Linked DNA regions of Arabidopsis thaliana. The protein of the gene in region 1 interacts with the protein of each later gene in a pairwise test. Each region holds a gene or a part of one and is shown in the gene's direction. Other genes may lie near its edges. The genes, in order: AT3G07500, AT5G05120, FRS5 and AT5G02050.

Region 1 (5,355 bases):
AGAACTCTGCTTGTTTAAACGATTCCCTGCTTCAAGTATGGGTGAATGTTGTTTTCTTGATTTCATTTTCGTTGCTTCTTCTTCCATTAGATTGGTTAGAGACTATGGTGTTATATCTAGAGATTGGTAAAAGCAATTGGAAAATGCTAGGAGGTTATTGAACACATTGTGTTGAATTGTGGTTACCTGGTGTTGATATCTGTTGGTCTCGAGCTCAATTTGCCAACAGCTTTAAGCATAGAGAAAGAGAGTATATAGAATGATGTGACTTCTTAGTACTGGAATGAGATTCTTTTTACAGACCATATAGTAATCTTCCCGGTTTCGGTATGCTTAGGATTAATAGGCCATCCTTTATATTCTCGGGTCTAATTGTCTAAGGAGGTGTTTCCGTTGAGTTAGAAGAATTAGTGGAGTTTTGATCTTTCATTCTCATAACCACTGCATCTTTGGTGAGGCTGAGATAACATTAAATATACTCTGAGCATTGTAATCACAGTTTCTGCTTTTAGGGAAAGGGAATAAGGTAGAATGGATCTGGCATCTTATACCAATGGTTTAGTAGATTTGATTTGAGCCTTGTAAACAGAAACTCTGTTTGTAGGATCGATTCTTGTTCAGGGTTTGATTCAGTAACAAAACATATTGAGTATACTGTTTAGATATTATTTTCCTACCAGTAGTTTCTAAACACAGCTTAGGCATCTTTAAATGTTGCGAATAGTTTTCTAATTCTTACTCGTTTTTCAAAATCCGAAACCAAAGCAAACTGAAAAATGGATGCTCATCTCTATCTACCTGAAAACGTCGATATCAAAATCAATTTCTGCTTGTGGTGCACTTAACACAATAATCATTACTCTCAGTCTTATAAGGATGTGCAATACAACATAATTTAAACCTGTTAACAGACTATCAATCTGTTAAGAAGTGATTAAGACCTTGACTATTTTAAAGGCTATCTCTTTTATTTTAATTTTATTATTGTTCAAGTTGTCTCTTCTATTTTCGAAACATCGCCATGTTCAAATCGACAAAAAAAGAAGTGTATAGAACAAATCCACTTAGAATAAGTTACATCTTATGTAGATAAAATAAATAAATAAGTTTTGTAGAAAATTAACCAAACATATACAAACAGACGATAAGCATTTGAATTGAATTATATTTGTCTATACCATAAATTGAGTCTCAAAAGATTTAACCTGAAATAACTATCCTAACGGAAAACTGTTTTGAAGATGACAAAATACGAGATAATGTGTAGATTCCGTGTGTATCTCTATTGATAGACTTTAGTTTTTGTGTATTCTTGAAGGACATAAACCTATTTTAAGACCAGTTCAACAGAAAACTGGTGCAGACCACGATCACAGTTGTAATGAGTTTTCTAAAATGGTAACCACTCCTTTTCCTTTAAGAAGCAGTCCTTCTTGTCTCCTGCCCTAATTCTCTTCTTCTCTATAAACCCATATTCTAGTTTTGTTCTCATTCATTCTCTGTTCAAAGCTCATAAATAATAAACTCCAATTAAGAATGGATCAAGCGGAGCTTGCCAGGATCTTCCAAATGTTCGACAGGAACGGTGATGGCAAAATCACGAAGCAAGAGCTGAATGATTCATTGGAGAATCTAGGAATCTACATTCCAGACAAAGACTTGGTGCAGATGATCGAGAAGATTGATCTCAACGGTGATGGGTACGTGGACATCGAAGAGTTTGGAGGGTTGTACCAGACGATAATGGAGGAAAGAGACGAGGAGGAAGACATGAGAGAGGCTTTCAACGTGTTTGATCAGAACCGGGACGGGTTCATCACGGTGGAAGAGCTAAGGTCTGTGTTAGCTTCCTTGGGGCTCAAACAAGGAAGAACCCTAGAGGATTGCAAGAGGATGATAAGCAAAGTTGACGTTGATGGAGATGGCATGGTGAATTTCAAAGAGTTTAAACAAATGATGAAAGGTGGTGGATTTGCCGCCTTAGGATCAAACTTGTAAAAAAAAAACTCATTTTTCGGGTTCGGGTTTGAGACCCAAAATCATTGGGTATTTTTTTCTTCGGAATGATTATTAGGGCAAAACCTTGAAAGCGATGATGAATGGATTTGCAAAAGAAAAAAGCTCAACAAACTTTGTGAGCTTTGTTTTGAATGCTCCTACAAAAATGTTGTTGATGAATTTGCTTTTCGGATTTTGAAACATAACCATGCGAATCTACGGGAACACTTGATGATTCTTTTATTATTTATATATTTGGGTGTTGCACTTAAAAAGTTATCACTATCTAGCTTATAATCATAAAATGATGAAAATATATTTGTATTTGTAAATTACAAAGATTAAACACAAACAAACAATCGAATTTCTACCCAAAAAAACAAACAAACAATCGAATTTATGTCTTTAAAGTGAAGATTTAGGTCAAAGTAATGGAAAAAAGTGTCTCATGGAATATGTTAGTCAGGCGGTCAAAGTAAAAAGTAAAAAGAGAAAAAACTATAAACTACATGATGTTTAACTCTTCAAGTGACGTCAAGACATAAACTACGTGCCGTTTCGCACTATTCGTAATCCAACGGGCGAGACTGGAATGAATTTATGACCAGATCTTGGTTTTTTCTTGTCGTCTTCTTCACCGCTTACCAGTTACTAACTTGAGCTTCAGAGATCATCATCATCATCACTTCCTCTCTCTGAAGAAAACACAATTTGGAGTTTTCTAATCTTCATTCCAAGTGAGTACTTCAATCGAATCCCTTTTCTACTATTCAATAATTCAATCTATTATTCAAATTCTCGTCTATCTGTTTCGATGATTTTGAGGTTTTCGCTCCCTTTTGTTATCAAATTATGGAATCTGATTCCCAATTTCGCGTTTGTATGTACTCGATTTTCTCTTTTTTCTTGCATGATTACACTTTGGTGAAGTTCAGAATTCGAGTAATATCACTTGAAATTGCTACTCTCTGCCTATTCATTAGGGTTTATGAATACATAGTTTAGGGTTTATGTTTCCATTAGTCACTTCTTGAGGACCTGCTTATCTTCGAGCCATTGTGTATTTGATAAACTTTGGAAGAAGTGTCCACTATATCTAGCGTAGGACTGAATGTAGTAGATTAGAACTGCTAAGAGTTGGTTAGAGAAAGGGGTGGGTAATTTATAAGGATTTTCTAGGGTTTGGTTAGGTATTCGGTAGAGAGTTTCTGGTTTGGTGAACAAGACATAGCTTTGCATCATTTGTTTTGAGTTGAGATGTTTGTGTGTTGTGTTGTGGCAGTGGAAGGGAACTCTTTACCCGAAGAAGATGTAGAGATGATGGAGAATTCAGATGTAATGAAGACAGTCACAGATGAAGCTTCTCCAATGGTGGAGCCGTTCATTGGTATGGAGTTTGAATCAGAAGAGGCTGCAAAGTCTTTCTATGACAATTACGCTACATGCATGGGTTTCGTTATGCGAGTGGATGCTTTCAGGAGGTCAATGCGAGATGGGACTGTGGTGTGGCGCAGACTCGTGTGTAATAAAGAAGGATTTCGTAGGTCGAGACCTCGGAGAAGCGAGAGTAGAAAGCCTCGGGCTATAACAAGAGAAGGGTGTAAAGCTCTGATTGTTGTGAAAAGAGAGAAATCCGGAACATGGCTTGTTACTAAATTTGAGAAAGAGCATAATCATCCTCTCTTGCCTCTCTCCCCTAATGTTCGCCGGAATTTTCAGCTCCCTCAAACACCGGTACGTCTACGCACTTTTCCTTGGGGTAAAAGTAAAACAGTGATTATTGGCATTGATCTAAGAGTTACCAAGAACATAAAGCTCAAAAAATGATATCGAAATCTTGTACAAATGAACTTTTCAGGACGAGAAAGACGCAAAGATTAGGGAGCTGAGTGCAGAGCTGAGCCGAGAGAGAAGGCGTTGTACTGCTTTGCAACAGCAGCTTGATATGGTCCTTAAGGAGATGGAAGAACATTCCAACCATCTCACCATTAACATCAATAGTGTTATCCAAAGTGTTAGAGACATTGAGTCCAATACTTTCACCAAACAACAAACATAATGCTTCATTTCTGTTCATAAAAGCTTAACATCAAATTCTCATAATCCAATGTTCTGTATCTTGTGATTGATTCTTCATTCTCCGAAACAAAAAAACAAAAAACTAGATTGGAAGGCATTGATGATGAAATTACACATTGGCTAATCAAAACAAAGCCATGGACATTATCCAATTTTGACATAGCATCAATGCCAGAAAGCGTAAATGGCGGTAGAGATGTAAATCAGCAGAGCAGAGGAAACCAGAGTGACGAGCGTTGCAACAGCTTGAGCCGCCGATTTGCTGCCGCAAGAGAGCAAACCAAGACGGATCTGAATCACATTAACCATAGAGAGCATCAAGAAGAGACAGCCCATTACAGATCCGACAGCAGAAGCCATCATTCCCCATCTCAAAACCTTGATATTGATGTGAGCTCTGAAAATCTCGTTGACGTCTTTGCTATTAAGAAGGTTTAAGGCAAGCTTAAGACCCTGAGCTACAAGAGAGGAGAAGAGGAAGAAGCTGAAGGAGACGACTTCGAAGACCAGTAGCTTCTTGGCGACGTCAGCACTTGCGTCGCAGCTGGATCGTTGTTCGAGGCTGTGTTGTCCTGGAGTCGCTAAGGAAAGACCAACGAAGACGGCGATGGTGAAGAGAGAGTTCACGTTCACGAGTCCGTCGAGAGCGCTTACGTGGACACTTGTGGTGGCGAGGGAGGATGTTGAAGACGCCTCTGGTGACGTCATTCTCACGCCGTTCTCAGCGCCGGTCATGTAGTTAACCTTCGGCTCAGATCTGCTCGGAAAGGGAAAAAAAGAAACGCAATGGTTAAAAAAAAGATAGATTGATTTTAGGGAAGAGAGAGGGTTTGCTTACTCATACATGAGGGAATCTATTTAAGCAATGAGTTTAGCTTTCCGTCGGGGCTTAGCTTGAAGAAAGAGATGGATTGTCTTAAAGAGAGAGCTTGTCGGAAACACTCTCTCTCTCCCTATCTTTGTACAAACCAGCTTCTTTGAGGCATTTCTTTTCCACGTCACATTAAGTTGTTGACTTTTTCCGATTTTTCTTCTCTTTTTGAATTTTGTTTTTCTGTATGCAGTCAAATGTTAATGGATTTTTGGGTGAATTTAAAAGATTTTTTTTAATGATTTACTATTAGCAACACTTCATAAATAATTTGAATGCATTTTTCAAATCACTAATAAGATTTTCTCTTAAAATTAATGATTAACTTGAGATTTTTCAATCTAATAAGACAAATCATATAGGATACATTCCCTTTTAAGTACCCAATTCGAAGGTTAAAGATAAAA
Region 2 (4,469 bases), on another chromosome or scaffold:
AAATTAACATCATACACATCGAAGCACGTCTCATATCCATTGTTCTCAGTGAGCTTCTCCGATTCCCAAGTTTCTGATCTAAACGCCGATGAGAATTTTCTTAACAGTCAGAGGGTGGTTTCTTTCGCCGGTTAAAGACTCTTTCCGTTTAAGAGAAGCAAACAAATATTATGGGCCATTAAATATGATTTTTAAGCCCATTTTATGGACTCATCTGAAAGCCCATTTTAAATCAATGTTGTTAATCCTTTGAAAAAAAAATATGCAAAAGATCAGTTTTCTTTTCTCAACCTCAAAGATCAGTTTGGTGCTGCTTCTCAATATGTGTTTGGTACTTATGCTCAGTCTTTGGCATTTGGTCAAATTTGTCTTGGGAAGCAGAAGTGGAGAGGTTGTTCACACAAACATTACTTTGTTTTTTGTATGGTTAATTTGGCTATTATCTAAAATTTTGTTTCTTATATAGAACACAAATCATTACAATATTTTATTTTTGATTGTAGAAATCATATAAAATGTTCAAAAATGTGTTTTTTTAGTAATTTGATATAGAGATTAAATGAATAAAACAATATAGAATGTTTTCTTTGTTCTATACCATTTCATGTTATATGTTCTATGTAAACAAAACCATTTACTCAAAACGATCAAAGACGCACTTTCTTAATTTTCCATAGTACAGTGTCATAAGCTTCGTTTTATTATCGAACTAGGTCATTGCTGCAAGTGACCCTTCAAAAATTGCACTAGGAAGAAGCCTAGGTGACTCAGAAGCGCAAATTGCAAAATGCAAAAGATTGCACTAGAGATTTTACCTCTAATTACAAGAGAGATTTAAAAGGCAAAGAGAAAATCTGAAAGCCGTGGTTAAGTTATTCATTAAGACAATCCATCAAAGAAACCATGAGTTTCAGTTGCGAAAGTGTGTTGGACAGCCTCAGGTACCAGTTGCGATTTACGAAATGTGTTGAAAGTGTGTTATAGTCCCCTTTTTCCTTCTCAGGTAGCTAATAACCAATCAATATCTTTGCTTTTGAAGGAAAGACAGGTCGTCGCACCATCCAATCTACGTGCTTCAGATCTTCTCTGGTGACGGATTCGTGCTCCTTCTCAATCCTCATCAACTTGTTTAACGTGTGCGCTATTCCCTCCGGCTCAGTGAGAGATTGCAGTTTCTCGAACATGCATGATTCTCTTCTTCTCCATCCTCCTATTTTCCACTTTTGTCTTCGCAAGTACATCAACCCTGATCGATGTCGGAGCATACTCCGTTGTACAGACCCTTTTCAAGAGATGGCTACTAGAACCAATGATACGGCGGAAGTTCATCGTCAATCCAAGCTCTCAAAGTTCACTAACCCTAATTATAATACATATAGCTTTCTTCTTATCTCCAATTAATGTGCTATTTATAAAAATGTTTACAAAGTTTATAAACCTTGATTACATAGATGTTCAATATCATAAGTTTAATCCAATCTGTATATTTTAATGCTGAAAAGATAGCTAAGAAACTATATAGATTTTAATTTGGTATGTTAGAGTTGAATATCTTGTTTAAACCTTGACTATACATAGATGTTCATTATCTTAAGTTTAATCCAATCTGTCATACTAAGCCATGTATATCACAAGAAAGTCTGAAAATGTGCTATATGTCATAGTAAAATTATTAAGTTAATGCTTTTTTGATGTGAGAATCAGCATTATAGATTTGATGGTAAAATGCTTCCATCAGTTTCTCTACTCTTATTAAAAGGTAGCCAAATTTAGTTTAATTACTTACTTTTAATATATATTTTCATTATGTTGATATGAAAATAATTTTATTTTTATTACCTCCAAAGTGATGTATATGAAAATAAATAAAATTGCAAGCAATGGAAAACAATAGAAAACTTAAAGGTAAATATTTTATTTAAGAGTTGAGATAATTATGTACTAAAAGTTTACTACATAATGACACTAATTAAATCTTTAATTCTTGTTTTCTAAAGTTGACTACATTAAGATCTACTAATTAACTCTTTAAACTCTTCTAAATAATTTTGTTTTCAACTATATCTCAAATTTAATAGGGCAAAACCAAAATCTCCCTACTCACTTTGGAAATCAGTAATGTTTGGAACTAATTTTGACTAAATATGCTAAATGCAACAAGTATTAATTCAGAAACAAATTTACTACGCAAATTCGGCAAATGTAAAATGTCAAATATATATAGTAATTAAACATGTTATGTGTGAGTTGTCGAAATGATAAACTAGTTTGTTAAGTACTTCAGTTAGTCTTTGTTCTTCATCATGTTTCTCTATAACTAAGTCCCTTTCCATATTTCATCAATATGCATTTATCTTATTCAAACATCATAACATTACAACATATAACTTTCCTTGATATTAAAAGTGCATACAAAGTATTAAATCTTTAAATACCTATCCGGGTGCAATAACATATTCAAGCCATCAAACCTAATTTCTAAAAGCCCGATCCGATCGACAACGAAATGTTGTCCTCGGACTCGAATTACGCTAGTGATATTAGCGACGATGCCTCCGCCACCGGATCGATAGAGAATCCTATATACAAATGCAAGTATTGTCCTAGGAAGTTCGATAAAACACAAGCATTAGGTGGTCATCAAAATGCACACAGAAAGGAGAGAGAGGTCGAAAAACAACAAAAAGCATTTTTGGCGCATTTGAACCGACCAGAACCAGATCTTTACGCGTACTCGTATTCGTATCATCATTCATTTCCTAACCAATACGCACTCCCACCGGGATTTGAACAGCCTCAGTACAAAGTTGATAGATCATACAAGATGTCCATGGTCTACAACCAATATGTGGGATCCTCAAGCTCTAGCTTTGCAGGACTACAAAGTGACCCAAGTCAAGGAATGAACCAGGATTGGACCTTTACCGGGATCCCATTCCTACCCCAATCTCAACCTCAACCACTATCGTCACCAATATGTTTGGATCTTTGCCTTGGCATTGGTAGCTCCCAAACCCAACCACAACCTCAAGAACCAAATGATGCAACAGAAGAGATGGATGCTGAGAAAGAAAATGATGGTTCTTCCCTTTCTCTCTCACTCAAACTGTGAAATTGTAATCTTTCCCTTTTAAGTATTTCTTAAACTTTCATTCCTCACCTTTGTTTTCTTGCATAGTATTATCGGCTTGTGTCAAATCAGTACTTGTGCACTTGAACATTGTAATAAACTTGGTTGTTATTTGCATTTGAATTTCATATAATAATAAAAACTTGATATTGTTCTGACTTTGGGGTGTCAAATTCTATTTATAAGAATTTGAGATGCAAATCTCAATTTTAGTTACTTTATGATACCAATATAAAAAAAAAAACCACTCTTTCGAAAGGATGCGGGTTTTGAAATACTTTCGAGCTCCTTCTTCTCTCCGTCATCGTTCCTCTCCCATGGCTCAGTTTCTTCGACGCTTCTCTTCCTCTCCCATGGCGAACGAAGACGAATTCCAATCTCCGGTGGAACCATCACAGCAGCAATCTCAGGACTGTGTTTCGGAGTCTTATCTGATAGGGTTTGTTATCGCGAACATAGTAGGGTTAAAGTACTATTCCGGCCGAATCAACGGTCGAGAGATGGTGGGTCTGGTTCGAGAACCCTTGAACGTATATGACAATAATGCAATCAGAGTACTCAACACGCGATCTGAGCAAGTGGGTCACATCGAGCGTACAGTAGCAGCCGTTCTCGCGCCGATGATTGATTCTCACACGATCGTCGTCGAGGGTATTGTACCCAATACTCGTTCTAACTCCAATAGGTACAGAATCCCTTGTCAAATTCATGTATTTGCAAAGTTAGAAGCGTCCTCTACTGTGAAATCGACGATTTCTAGAGGTGGGTTAGTATTGATTTCGGAGTCAGATACATCGTTTGGGTTATCTGAGGCTGTTGTGGTTAAGGAACAGATGGGAAATGGAGATAAGAGGAGTGTTGATAAGATTTTTAAACTTGTTGATGAGAATGTGAAGTTAATGGGGAAATTGGTAGCGGCTGAGCCACCTAGGGAAGTGATAAAGTCTGAACTTTTTGCTCATCAGAAGGAAGGATTAGGCTGGTTACTCCATAGAGAGAAATCTGGAGAATTGCCTCCGTTTTGGGAGGAGAAAGATGGAGAATTTTTGAATACTTTGACGAATTACCGCTCGGATAAGCGGCCTGATCCTTTGCGTGGAGGGGTGTTTGCTGATGATATGGGGTTGGGTAAGACCCTTACTTTGCTTTCCCTGATAGCTTTTGATAGATATGGCAATGCATCCACCAGTACGCCAACCGAAGAGCCTTTGGATGGTGAAGGAGACAAGATTGAAAAGAAGGGTAAAAAGAGAGGAAGAGGCAAGAGCAGTGAAAGTGTAACTCGAAAGAAGCTTAAAACTGATGATGTTGTTGGCATGAATGTGTCTCAAAAGACAAC
Region 3 (6,709 bases), on another chromosome or scaffold:
ACTCGTATTTCAGTTTGAAGATAGATCCAACAAAGAATAAGAGCAGAATTGATTTTGTCAAGGACAGAAGAAAGATTAAGAGGGAGTATGATGAATTCAAGGTTCGCATCAACGGCCTCCCTGACTCAATACGGAGGAGGTCAGATGCATTTAATGCAAGGGAGGAAATGAAAGCTCTAAAACAGATGAGGGAGAGCGGAGGTGATCCAACAGAGCCTGTGAAAGTCCCCAAAGCCACGTGGATGGCAGATGGCACCCACTGGCCAGGAACTTGGGCAGCCTCTACTCGAGAGCATTCCAAAGGTGATCATGCTGGGATTCTCCAGGTGATGTTGAAACCACCTAGCAGCGATCCATTAATTGGAAATAGCGACGATAAAGTCATTGATTTTTCAGACACGGACACTCGTTTACCCATGTTTGTGTATGTGTCACGTGAGAAGCGGCCTGGATATGATCACAACAAGAAAGCTGGAGCCATGAATGCACTTGTTCGTGCCTCTGCTATCCTCTCAAATGGACCTTTTATCCTTAATCTTGATTGTGATCATTACATCTATAACTGTAAGGCCGTACGAGAAGGGATGTGTTTTATGATGGACAGAGGTGGTGAAGACATTTGCTACATTCAGTTTCCGCAAAGATTCGAAGGCATCGATCCTTCTGATAGATATGCTAACAATAACACTGTATTTTTTGACGGTAATATGCGTGCTCTCGACGGTGTCCAGGTACTGTATATATACTTATTTTTGATGCAATGCAAACCAACTATAGACAGATATATATATAAAGATCCTTTACCAAAAAATAAATGATTCTCTGTTTTTCTTTTCCAGGGACCAGTTTATGTTGGAACAGGTACTATGTTTAGGCGCTTTGCTCTCTATGGTTTTGATCCACCCAACCCTGACAAGCTTCTTGAGAAGAAGGAATCAGAAACAGAGGCTCTAACCACCAGTGACTTTGACCCGGACCTTGATGTCACACAACTCCCCAAGCGCTTTGGGAACTCCACACTCCTAGCTGAGTCAATTCCAATTGCAGAGTTCCAAGGTCGTCCATTGGCAGACCACCCGGCTGTCAAGTACGGTCGTCCTCCCGGAGCCCTTAGAGTCCCTCGTGACCCACTTGATGCTACCACTGTCGCAGAGTCTGTTTCTGTAATCTCTTGTTGGTATGAGGATAAAACGGAGTGGGGAGATAGAGTTGGATGGATTTATGGGTCGGTGACAGAGGACGTGGTCACAGGATACCGCATGCATAATCGTGGGTGGCGCTCGGTTTACTGCATAACTAAGCGAGATTCTTTTCGAGGCTCTGCACCCATTAATCTCACGGATCGTCTTCACCAGGTGTTGCGGTGGGCCACTGGGTCTGTTGAGATCTTCTTCTCTAGAAACAACGCCATTCTCGCCTCCAAACGTCTCAAGTTCCTCCAACGTCTCGCATACCTCAATGTTGGGATATACCCTTTCACGTCTCTGTTTCTCATCCTCTATTGTTTTCTTCCGGCATTCTCTCTTTTCTCTGGACAGTTCATCGTGCGGACGCTCAGTATCTCCTTCTTGGTCTACCTTCTTATGATCACCATTTGTTTGATTGGATTGGCGGTTTTGGAGGTCAAGTGGTCTGGCATTGGGCTGGAAGAATGGTGGAGAAACGAACAGTGGTGGCTCATCTCAGGAACAAGCTCTCACCTTTACGCAGTGGTCCAAGGAGTCCTCAAAGTGATTGCAGGGATCGAGATCTCCTTTACCTTGACGACCAAGTCAGGGGGAGATGACAATGAAGACATATACGCGGATTTGTACATAGTGAAATGGTCGTCGCTGATGATACCGCCTATAGTGATAGCAATGGTGAACATAATAGCGATTGTGGTGGCGTTCATCAGGACAATATACCAAGCGGTGCCACAATGGAGCAAGCTAATCGGAGGAGCATTTTTCAGCTTCTGGGTGTTGGCGCATTTGTATCCATTTGCAAAAGGATTGATGGGACGAAGAGGCAAAACTCCAACCATAGTTTTTGTGTGGGCAGGTCTCATTGCCATCACCATCTCTCTACTGTGGACGGCCATAAACCCAAACACCGGACCTGCAGCTGCTGCAGAGGGTGTTGGAGGCGGTGGTTTTCAATTCCCGTAATTAAAAAAGCATTCATATAGGCGACTTGAGAGTTTTGTAGACTAATCACAAGAAATTAATACGTATACTATCTTTGTTTCTTTTTGTTTTTGTTTTTGTTCCTGGTAGTAAATTTTCAGATAACTACATGTATATCTGGATTGAGATGTCATGACTGTATAAATCAGCCTTTGTATCAATCATTTCGTCTTTAAAAGTCAATTTTTCCTCTCCTCCACTCGCAACTGATAGTGAACCATACGGTAAGCGTAAAAGAGGATGGGCCTTATAAAGTAAATGAAGAGGGAGTGGGCCTTATAAAATTATAAATGAAGAAGGAATGGGCCTTATAAAATAAATGAAGAAGGAATGGGCCTTGCTTAAATTAAAAAAAGAGAATTAGAAGCACCGTCTGTCTTCCTCCTCCGTGCCCTCCGACGACTCTATTCCCAGTCTCCCTCCTCCGTCGTCTCTCATCTTCCTTTTCATTCTTCGGTTATTATAACGTAATCAATTACAAGTTCCCTTATCTCTTCTTTTCTGGTTTCTCCCGCGCACGAACGCGCATTCCCTCGTCTTCGCTGCCTCCCAATCTCAATCTCAGACTTGAAATCAAATCACGACTGTAAGTGGTTCTATCTACAGTAGCTAGCTATTTCATCCTGTTGTGGACAATAGATAGATAGAATTCATCCCTGAAGACAAGGAGGATATGATGGATAATGAAGTGCTCGACTTCGATATTGGTGTAGGAGTTAGTAGTGGCGGAGATGTTGATGACGACGCTATTGATATTGAGCACCATGCTCTCGACGACGATGATATGCTCGACAGCCCAATTATGCCTTGCGGTAATGGTCTTGTTGGCAATTCTGGAAATTACTTTCCCAACCAGGAGGAGGAGGCTTGTGATCTCCTGGATCTCGAGCCCTATGATGGTCTTGAATTCGAGTCCGAAGAAGCTGCCAAGGCATTCTACAACTCGTATGCCCGTCGCATTGGCTTTAGTACCCGTGTCAGTTCCTCCCGCCGCTCCCGCCGTGATGGAGCTATCATCCAGAGGCAATTTGTCTGTGCCAAAGAAGGTTTCAGAAATATGAATGAAAAGCGCACCAAGGACAGGGAGATCAAGCGTCCCAGGACCATCACTCGAGTCGGTTGCAAAGCCTCCCTCTCTGTTAAGATGCAGGATTCCGGTAAATGGCTTGTCTCTGGCTTTGTCAAAGACCACAACCATGAGCTTGTTCCTCCCGACCAAGTTCACTGTCTGCGTTCCCACAGGCAAATCTCTGGCCCTGCCAAGACTTTGATTGACACACTTCAAGCTGCAGGAATGGGTCCCCGCAGAATCATGTCCGCCCTCATCAAAGAGTATGGTGGCATCAGCAAGGTTGGTTTCACCGAAGTGGACTGTAGGAATTATATGAGGAACAACCGCCAGAAGAGCATAGAAGGAGAGATTCAGCTTCTTCTTGACTACTTGAGGCAGATGAATGCTGACAACCCAAACTTCTTTTATTCTGTTCAGGGAAGCGAAGATCAGTCTGTTGGTAATGTCTTCTGGGCTGATCCTAAAGCTATAATGGATTTCACTCACTTTGGAGACACCGTTACATTTGATACAACCTACAGGTCCAACAGGTACCGTTTGCCTTTCGCACCCTTCACTGGTGTAAATCACCATGGCCAACCCATTCTTTTCGGCTGTGCCTTTATCATCAATGAAACTGAGGCTTCATTTGTATGGCTTTTCAATACGTGGCTAGCCGCAATGTCCGCCCACCCTCCTGTCTCAATCACCACCGATCATGATGCTGTTATACGTGCAGCCATCATGCACGTTTTTCCTGGTGCCCGCCATCGCTTTTGCAAATGGCATATTTTAAAGAAATGTCAGGAGAAGCTGTCGCATGTCTTCCTCAAGCATCCTTCGTTTGAGTCAGATTTCCACAAATGTGTCAATCTGACAGAGTCGGTTGAGGATTTTGAGAGATGCTGGTTTTCACTTCTTGACAAGTATGAGCTAAGAGATCATGAGTGGCTACAAGCAATATACTCCGATCGCCGGCAGTGGGTCCCAGTATATCTCCGTGATACCTTTTTTGCCGACATGTCCTTAACTCATCGTAGTGATAGTATCAATTCATATTTTGATGGTTATATAAACGCTTCAACCAATCTAAGCCAGTTCTTTAAGCTGTATGAAAAAGCTTTGGAGAGTCGTCTCGAGAAAGAAGTTAAAGCAGATTATGACACAATGAACTCACCTCCTGTTCTGAAGACTCCATCTCCAATGGAGAAGCAGGCGTCTGAACTTTACACAAGGAAGTTGTTTATGAGATTTCAGGAAGAACTAGTTGGAACCCTGACTTTCATGGCATCCAAAGCTGACGATGATGGGGATCTTGTTACCTACCAGGTTGCGAAATATGGAGAGGCTCACAAGGCTCATTTCGTTAAGTTCAACGTTTTGGAGATGAGAGCAAATTGCAGTTGCCAGATGTTTGAGTTCTCTGGCATCATTTGCAGACATATATTGGCAGTCTTCCGGGTCACCAATCTCCTTACACTTCCACCTTACTACATCCTAAAAAGATGGACCAGAAATGCCAAAAGCAGTGTTATATTTGATGATTATAATTTGCATGCGTATGCTAATTACCTGGAGTCTCATACCGTCCGATACAACACCTTACGTCACAAAGCTTCTAATTTTGTGCAAGAAGCTGGAAAATCTCTGTATACTTGTGATGTCGCAGTTGTTGCTCTGCAAGAAGCTGCCAAGACTGTGTCCCTGGCAATGAATAAGGAAGTTAGAAGAACTATGGCGAACAGGCATTTTAAAGCGAGTTCTGTAACTGGTGGAAAACATCAGCAAGAAGTGCTGGCGCAACCTGAGCCCGAGGTGAGGATCATTTTCTTTTCGATACTTGTTTTCTTTTTGATATAATAGCAATCAAATTTGTTGCTCTAAAAAATAGTTATATACGTTTGAAGTATCGTTTGTGCGGGTTTGCCCCATACAATACAATCATTGCTTTGTCTCCTTGACGGTACCATAATGCTGATTGCTCTGTTAACGTTTGACTAATGAGCTCGTGATTCACATATGCATGTTAAGAGTATGGTCTTCATTTTGCCATTGTGAGCCTTTGTTCCGTACAATCTGCAAGGTCCTCAATTTTGCTATGTGCTTTTACTGCTGACTAATTGCATGACCGTATTTCCTCTACTTTCGCAGGACGAAATGGACAAGAAGATTAATCAGCTCAGAAACGAGCTGGAATTAGCAAACAGGAAATGCGAAGCTTACAGGACTAACCTACTTTCAGTTTTGAAAGAAATGGAAGACCAAAAGTTACAAGTGTCCATCAAAGTGCAGAACATCAAAATTAGCTTGAAGGATAATCTGTGAAACAAGCAACAAATTCCGACTGCTATTCTCATCTATAACATATTGCTCATGTACTATATCTCTTATAGGGTTTTTGAAAGAGGGACCCAATTTTCAGGATTTCCCTGTTCTTACAGTAGGTAGCCTTTGTAATAGATTGTACTCCCAATCATTTCCTTACTGAGTAAGAGCATGAAGTTGATTCCCATAAATGTTTGCATACCAAGTTACCAACCACAGTACGTGAGTTGAATTGTGATGTTATGTATCCAGCAGATTGCACTCACTCTTTCAAGCTTAGTCTAGCATTTTGTACCTTGAGGGATAGCTGAAACTTCTGTTCTTCCATATCTCTCAAAATAGACAGCAGGTTTGCTCGATAAACTTCACATCGCTGGCCTGTCCTCTCCAACTCAGCTGTCAGTTCAAGTATCGTCCTCTCTTTTTCACCCTGGCATTGAAGTAAGTACTTATTCCCAAGGAACAGAGGACATCAATGTTAAAGAATTATCAAATACCAGTATTCGCTTACCCCTGGATGATTCGTTGCATTTGCTGTTTCTCGAGCTTCCTCGGACGGGTAAGCTTCCCCATTGGGAAGCCTAGTTCCAGGTGTTCTGTTACTTGCAGCAGCAACCTTCTTGGCAGCTTCATCCAAAGCATCCATTGCAACTTTATAGATCTGAATAGATTTGGCACCTTCCTCGACATACTTGGTTGCTTCTTGGCGTAGACTGTTGAAGCAGAGATTTAAAGATTCTTGACAGCCATTTGAAAACTCAGGTTGTTCCTCAGTGCCTCTAATCTTTGCTTCTTTGGTCCATCGCCTCAGTAGATACCGAGATGGAAGAGCAAGAACATTTTTGGCACTGAACACCGCCAATATGTGTCTACATATAATCCCTGAATACTCAAACATTTGACAGCTGCAATTAGCTTTCACCTCAAGAGAGTCAAAACTGACAGTATGACCTTTGTGAACTTCTCCGAACTTAGCGACACGATAAGTAGTGTGAGTTCCTGAATCACTAATTATATTTGCAGGAATTGCAAGGGTCTCAACAAACTCCTCCTGAAACTTGATGAATGCTGCCCTTGTATAGAGGCTAGCAGCTTGCTTTTCCATGGGAGAGGGCGTCTTCATAACTGGAGTAGAGTTAGTTGCTTCGTAATCTGCTTTCAGTTC
Region 4 (5,029 bases), on another chromosome or scaffold:
TTGTTTTCGCAGGTACAGAGGATGAACCGAAAAACCAAAAATATATTCAAATGCCCATATGATTGTACTCCATTTTAACTTCTTTGCTCTTGAAGGTGCGGCTGTTGCGGTTGTGGGAGTTACGCTAGCGATTGCGGTAGCAGTAATTGGAACCAAACATAGCCACCAAAAGGTTAAAAAGGATATCCACAAGAACATTGTTAAGGAGCGAGAAGAGATGCTTAGCGCAAATTCCACTGGAAAATCATCAAGAATCTTCACTGGCAGAGAAATCACGAAAGCAACCAACAATTTCTCAAAAGACAATCTCATAGGCACTGGAGGTTTTGGAGAAGTGTTTAAAGCTGTTCTTGAGGATGGAACCATAACCGCGATCAAACGAGCAAAGCTTAACAACACCAAAGGCACTGATCAGATCCTAAACGAAGTCCGGATTCTCTGCCAAGTCAATCATAGAAGCTTAGTTAGGCTTCTCGGTTGCTGTGTTGATCTTGAATTGCCTCTCTTGATCTACGAGTTTATTCCCAACGGAACGCTGTTCGAACATCTCCATGGCAGTTCAGACCGTACTTGGAAACCGCTGACTTGGCGGCGCAGACTGCAGATTGCATACCAAACCGCTGAAGGATTAGCTTATCTCCACTCCGCAGCACAGCCACCCATTTACCACCGCGACGTAAAGTCAAGCAATATTTTGCTTGACGAGAAGCTAAACGCCAAGGTTTCAGACTTTGGGCTGTCAAGACTTGTGGATTTGACAGAAACCGCTAATAACGAGAGCCATATCTTCACGGGTGCGCAAGGTACATTGGGATACCTCGATCCAGAATACTACCGGAATTTCCAGCTAACTGATAAGAGCGATGTGTACAGCTTCGGGGTTGTGCTTCTGGAGATGGTTACATCGAAGAAGGCGATAGATTTCACTAGAGAAGAGGAAGATGTGAACCTGGTGATGTATATTAACAAGATGATGGATCAAGAGAGATTGACTGAATGCATCGATCCACTGCTGAAGAAGACAGCTAACAAGATTGACATGCAGACGATACAGCAGCTCGGGAATTTAGCATCTGCGTGCCTTAACGAACGGAGACAAAACCGACCTTCGATGAAAGAGGTTGCTGATGAGATTGAATACATCATCAATATTCTGTCACAAGAGGTTACTGAGACATAGCTGTCTTAGAAAATTACCAAAATGACTTGTACCCTTGCCCTGTTTCCGGTTATGGATTGGAGAAAAACAATTCATAGAAATGGATTTTTGTAAAATCATTGAGATGGGTTTTGTTTGATATCATATCAAGATCCAAAACATGGTATGAGACGATATAGCAGCTAAAAACCAATTAAAGAAAGATAAACCAACAGAAATCTGAAACCTATCGCAAGAGAGAGCGGGTTGCTGCCTGCAAAACTCAGTGTCTTTAGTGAATAAAACAGTAACTCCTGCAGAGGAACACGCGGCTGCAAGAGCGAGAAGTGCAGTGACCTGCAGAATTCCAAAAGAAACCTATCAAACAAATAACCTTTAAAACAACAAGACACCAACAGTGAATAAGCATATAATGAAATGGAAGATAAGTTTAATACCCAATCACCAACAGTGAAAAGGCTCAATAAGATAGGGCTTCGTAAATCACTTTTTCTCCTTATCGCATATACATCAAGACACGCAAGTCCAAAGCTCCATATCAATTGAAGACCCATAGATGCGACTAAGAAGCTGAAATCATTGGCAAAAGCAATCTATCATCATTTTGTATCTTTTGAGATAACCCCATACAGTAATCGAAATATAGAAATAATTCCATTTCCACATATTTTTTACCAAACAAAGAAAAAAATCTTGTCAAAGTTTCAGGCAAATGTTAATCATACACAATTACTAGTTCAGTTAGCTCTATCTTCAAAAGTTTATCCAAGAAAAAACTACAAAGTCAAGATTTTTGATACATCAGTGTCCAATGTCTTCAACTAAACTAAACTAAACCAAAACACCAAGACCAATGAGATTGAAGATGGACAATTACCAGAAAGCAGTGTAATTGGAAAAGTCGTAAGAAGAAACCATAACACCAATGGAAGCAGCAGCAGTTGCACATTGCCCTAGTCTCAGTATCAACCCACTCATTGTTCCAGGACTCCCAATCATCTTCTTCATTGATCAGAACCCAAAAACAAACACAATAAACAGAACAAAACCAAGACTTTCTATCCTGTTCCTCACCAAAATCCCCGGGAGAAAAAAATCGCTACTTTACAGGAAATTGATCATAAAAACCCTAAACCCATAATTTTATTCAGGAAAATTTCACAAACCCAAATCTCAAAAGTTGACTTATGATCATAAATCGTACGGAATTGGGTAATTAAGAGCATCGCCACCAGAAAACCAACATTAAAAATGACAACTTTTTTGAGCTATATGAATTTAAAAACAAGTATCTACCACAAATTTAATTCTGCTTTTTTGGAGGAACAATTATGTTTCCCTTAACTTCAAGCCAACGATATTAAAATTGAAGTTGGAAGAAACAGTGACGCAATTCTGACGCCGGCAAGAGCTATTTTGTTCTTCTCTCCTTTTGCCTTTAAGGACGTGTCCACACACAGACATTCCTCTCTCACTGTACGAATGACCAATTCCTTTTAATATATGGGCTTCTTATGGCCCATTAAGTAATTGGGCCTTATTAAATGGCTTTTTATCTCCTACATAATGCTTTGCACTATAAACAAACCTTAAACCTCTCTTCTTCTCTCAGTAAAACCCTCATTTCTGTTTCTCTTTTCACTTTTAAGGAAAACCCTAGAATCCTCAGAAATGGCGTTGAGCACCGTGTTTCGTCGAGCTTCGTCAACAGTAGCCAATCTTGCTTTCCGTGCGGGTAGATCTCCGGTTAGCTTCCGCAGTGGCGCTGTCTCCGTCGAGAGGCTGATTCGTGGTAGCCACCAGATCAGGCGTGGATCGGTTAGTTCATTCTCAGTCTCGAGCTTTTCGACGGAAAGTGCGATCTCTAAAACAACCGCCGACGAGAATCTTGTTAGCGTTATCGAATCTGAAATCGAATGCGCCGTCGCAGAGGAGGCTCCTCATGACACTGACTTCGTAAGTTCTCTCTTTCAATATACATGATTCTTCTCGAATTCATGAGATTTTAATATTTCTGGGGTTTAGAACAATTGTATCTGAATTAGAAATGTTTTGGAAAAACAGTTGGAAGATAAGCCAGAAGGGTTTCCATTTGAAATCATTGATAATTCAGGGGAGAGAACTGTGTTGCTGACAAGGAAATTTGAGGATGAAACCATCCAAGTGGAAGTTGACTCTGTTGCTTCTTATGATGATGAAGATGAAGAAGAGGAAGCAGAACCAAACAATGAAGAAGACGATGAAGATCAAGAGAGCTCGGGTAAAGTCCGGGTTCCGATGGTTGTTAGTGTGCAGAAAGGTGATGGTGTGTGTCTTGAGTTTGGAGTCAGCGCATACCCGGATGAGATTGTGATTGATAGTTTATCGATCAAACAACCGCAAGGATCTGATAATGACCTTGCTTACGAAGGACCTGACTTTGAGTAAGTTTACTTCAATGATAGTGAGTTCTTGTTTGGAATATATGAGATTGGGGTATTGTTATGTGATTGAATTTGGTTATTGTGTTATGTGCAGTGACTTGGATGAGAATTTGCAGAAGGCTTTCCACAGGTACTTGGAGATCAGAGGTATTAAACCAAGCTTCACTACCTTTCTGGCAGATTATGTGGCCAACAAAGATAGCAGAGAGTATCTTCAATGGCTCAAGGATCTCAAGTCTTTTGTCGAGAAGTGAAACTGAACTTTGTTCAGAGAATAAGAGCGAGATTTCTTTTTGCTTTAAACTTTTGAGTTTATCTTAGATGAACTTGATATCACCATGAGCAATCGTTGAAAGTGAGGTCATGTGTTATGCTTGTTAACAATATTGCTACATGTTTTTAATGGGTTTTTAGGTACTTTGCTAGATATAAGATGCAACTCTTTCGAGTGTCAGTTGGAAAAAATGTTACGACCTCAATAAAGTATAATTCTTTTGCATTTTCCCATTGCCTATTCTTATCCGAAAACTCTCGGCTAAGTAGTCAAATCATTTGTTTATTTTCCATTTCTTGTTATCTCATTATTATTGTTACTAGACCTCTCAACCCAAAAAAAGAAAGAAAAAAATGCAAGCTATTAAACGATTCTAGGACTTTACACAAAGGGTTTTGTGTTAGAACGAAGAACAACAAAGCTAGCTTTACAAGTCTTTAGCAAAAAAAAGAGAGGATTTTGCTAGCAAAAAGAGCTCAGAGCTCAAATCTCAAATCAAAGAAAAAACAGATGATCCCAGTCATTGAGCAACAAATCCAGATTGAACATCCATAGTACAGTGTTAACGAAACCGGGTTTATCTTGGAGAAAGGCAGTAAGTTTGGTCTTTACAGCGTTATGTCCTCAGCAGAACACGATCATGGTGGTACAAGCTGCCAAAGACTGTCAACATTTCAGAAAATCTAACCATCCAGTTAAGCAAATAGATGTTAGACTAAGAAGAAGATATTTCAAACTTACATTACTCTAAATCTCGCTGTAGTTACGCCATACTGCTCGGAATTCCTCCCTAAATGTGTTAAAACGTGCCTTCAAGTTCGGTGTTCTCAAGCTTGCATGAAGAATTGTTGCTGTAACACAAATTACAAAAAGAGGTTGAGTTTATAAAAGCCTATATGTGGATTTTTGAAGTAGAGTGAGAGAAACTAAGTTATGACTTATGAGGATTTGTGTAGACTGCATACCAAGATGTGCAATGAGTAGCGCAACCGAGACTCTGAGCAAACCAGAGGAAATATACCAAAGAGCAAAACTCACTGCGAAACAAAAAAAAAACTCCAAATCATGTTTTTTACGGTTTTTGGAGATATATTACATCAAATGAAAATATACAAAGCCACATACCAAGTGAGCATGTCAAGACAAAAACCCAACGGGGTTGACCACATACAT

What was found.
Region 2: the proteins of AT3G07500 (region 1) and AT5G05120 interact in a two-hybrid assay, tested with the Arabidopsis thaliana proteins (one large-scale study listed by BioGRID).
Region 3: the proteins of AT3G07500 (region 1) and FRS5 interact in a two-hybrid assay, tested with the Arabidopsis thaliana proteins (one large-scale study listed by BioGRID).
Region 4: the proteins of AT3G07500 (region 1) and AT5G02050 interact in a two-hybrid assay, tested with the Arabidopsis thaliana proteins (one large-scale study listed by BioGRID).

The regions. Positions count from the first base shown.
Region 1 is NC_003074.8:2,389,653-2,395,007, forward strand, and holds AT3G07500 (Far-red impaired responsive (FAR1) family protein), read left to right. Parts: upstream 1-2,563; 5' UTR 2,564-2,734; coding exon 2,735-2,735; intron 2,736-3,280; coding exon 3,281-3,732; intron 3,733-3,856; coding exon 3,857-4,057; 3' UTR 4,058-4,126; downstream 4,127-5,355. Other genes in the region: AGD11 (ARF-GAP domain 11), read left to right, coding at 1,537-1,998; AT3G07510 (maternal effect embryo arrest protein), read right to left, coding at 4,243-4,834, 4,916-4,923.
Region 2 is NC_003076.8:1,508,726-1,513,194, forward strand, and holds AT5G05120 (C2H2 and C2HC zinc fingers superfamily protein), read left to right. Parts: upstream 1-2,506; coding exon 2,507-3,112; downstream 3,113-4,469. Other genes in the region: AT5G05110 (Cystatin/monellin family protein), read right to left, coding at 1-40; AT5G05113 (uncharacterized protein), read right to left, coding at 1,008-1,265; AT5G05130 (DNA/RNA helicase protein), read left to right, coding at 3,391-4,469.
Region 3 is NC_003075.7:17,905,537-17,912,245, reverse strand, and holds FRS5 (FAR1-related sequence 5), read left to right. Parts: upstream 1-2,502; 5' UTR 2,503-2,841; coding exon 2,842-5,034; intron 5,035-5,370; coding exon 5,371-5,544; 3' UTR 5,545-5,732; downstream 5,733-6,709. Other genes in the region: CSLD4 (cellulose synthase like D4), read left to right, coding at 1-731, 840-2,150; FRS9 (FAR1-related sequence 9), read right to left, coding at 5,807-5,974, 6,056-6,709. UniProt on the Arabidopsis thaliana protein: Putative transcription activator involved in regulating light control of development.
Region 4 is NC_003076.8:402,046-407,074, reverse strand, and holds AT5G02050 (Mitochondrial glycoprotein family protein), read left to right. Parts: upstream 1-2,728; 5' UTR 2,729-2,830; coding exon 2,831-3,115; intron 3,116-3,223; coding exon 3,224-3,582; intron 3,583-3,676; coding exon 3,677-3,836; 3' UTR 3,837-4,096; downstream 4,097-5,029. Other genes in the region: AT5G02065 (uncharacterized protein), read right to left, coding at 1-366; AT5G02070 (Protein kinase family protein), read left to right, coding at 1-12, 96-1,180; AT5G02060 (Uncharacterized protein family (UPF0497)), read right to left, coding at 1,301-1,495, 1,597-1,729, 2,037-2,167; PRA1.A1 (prenylated RAB acceptor 1.A1), read right to left, coding at 4,604-4,707, 4,822-4,893, 4,982-5,029.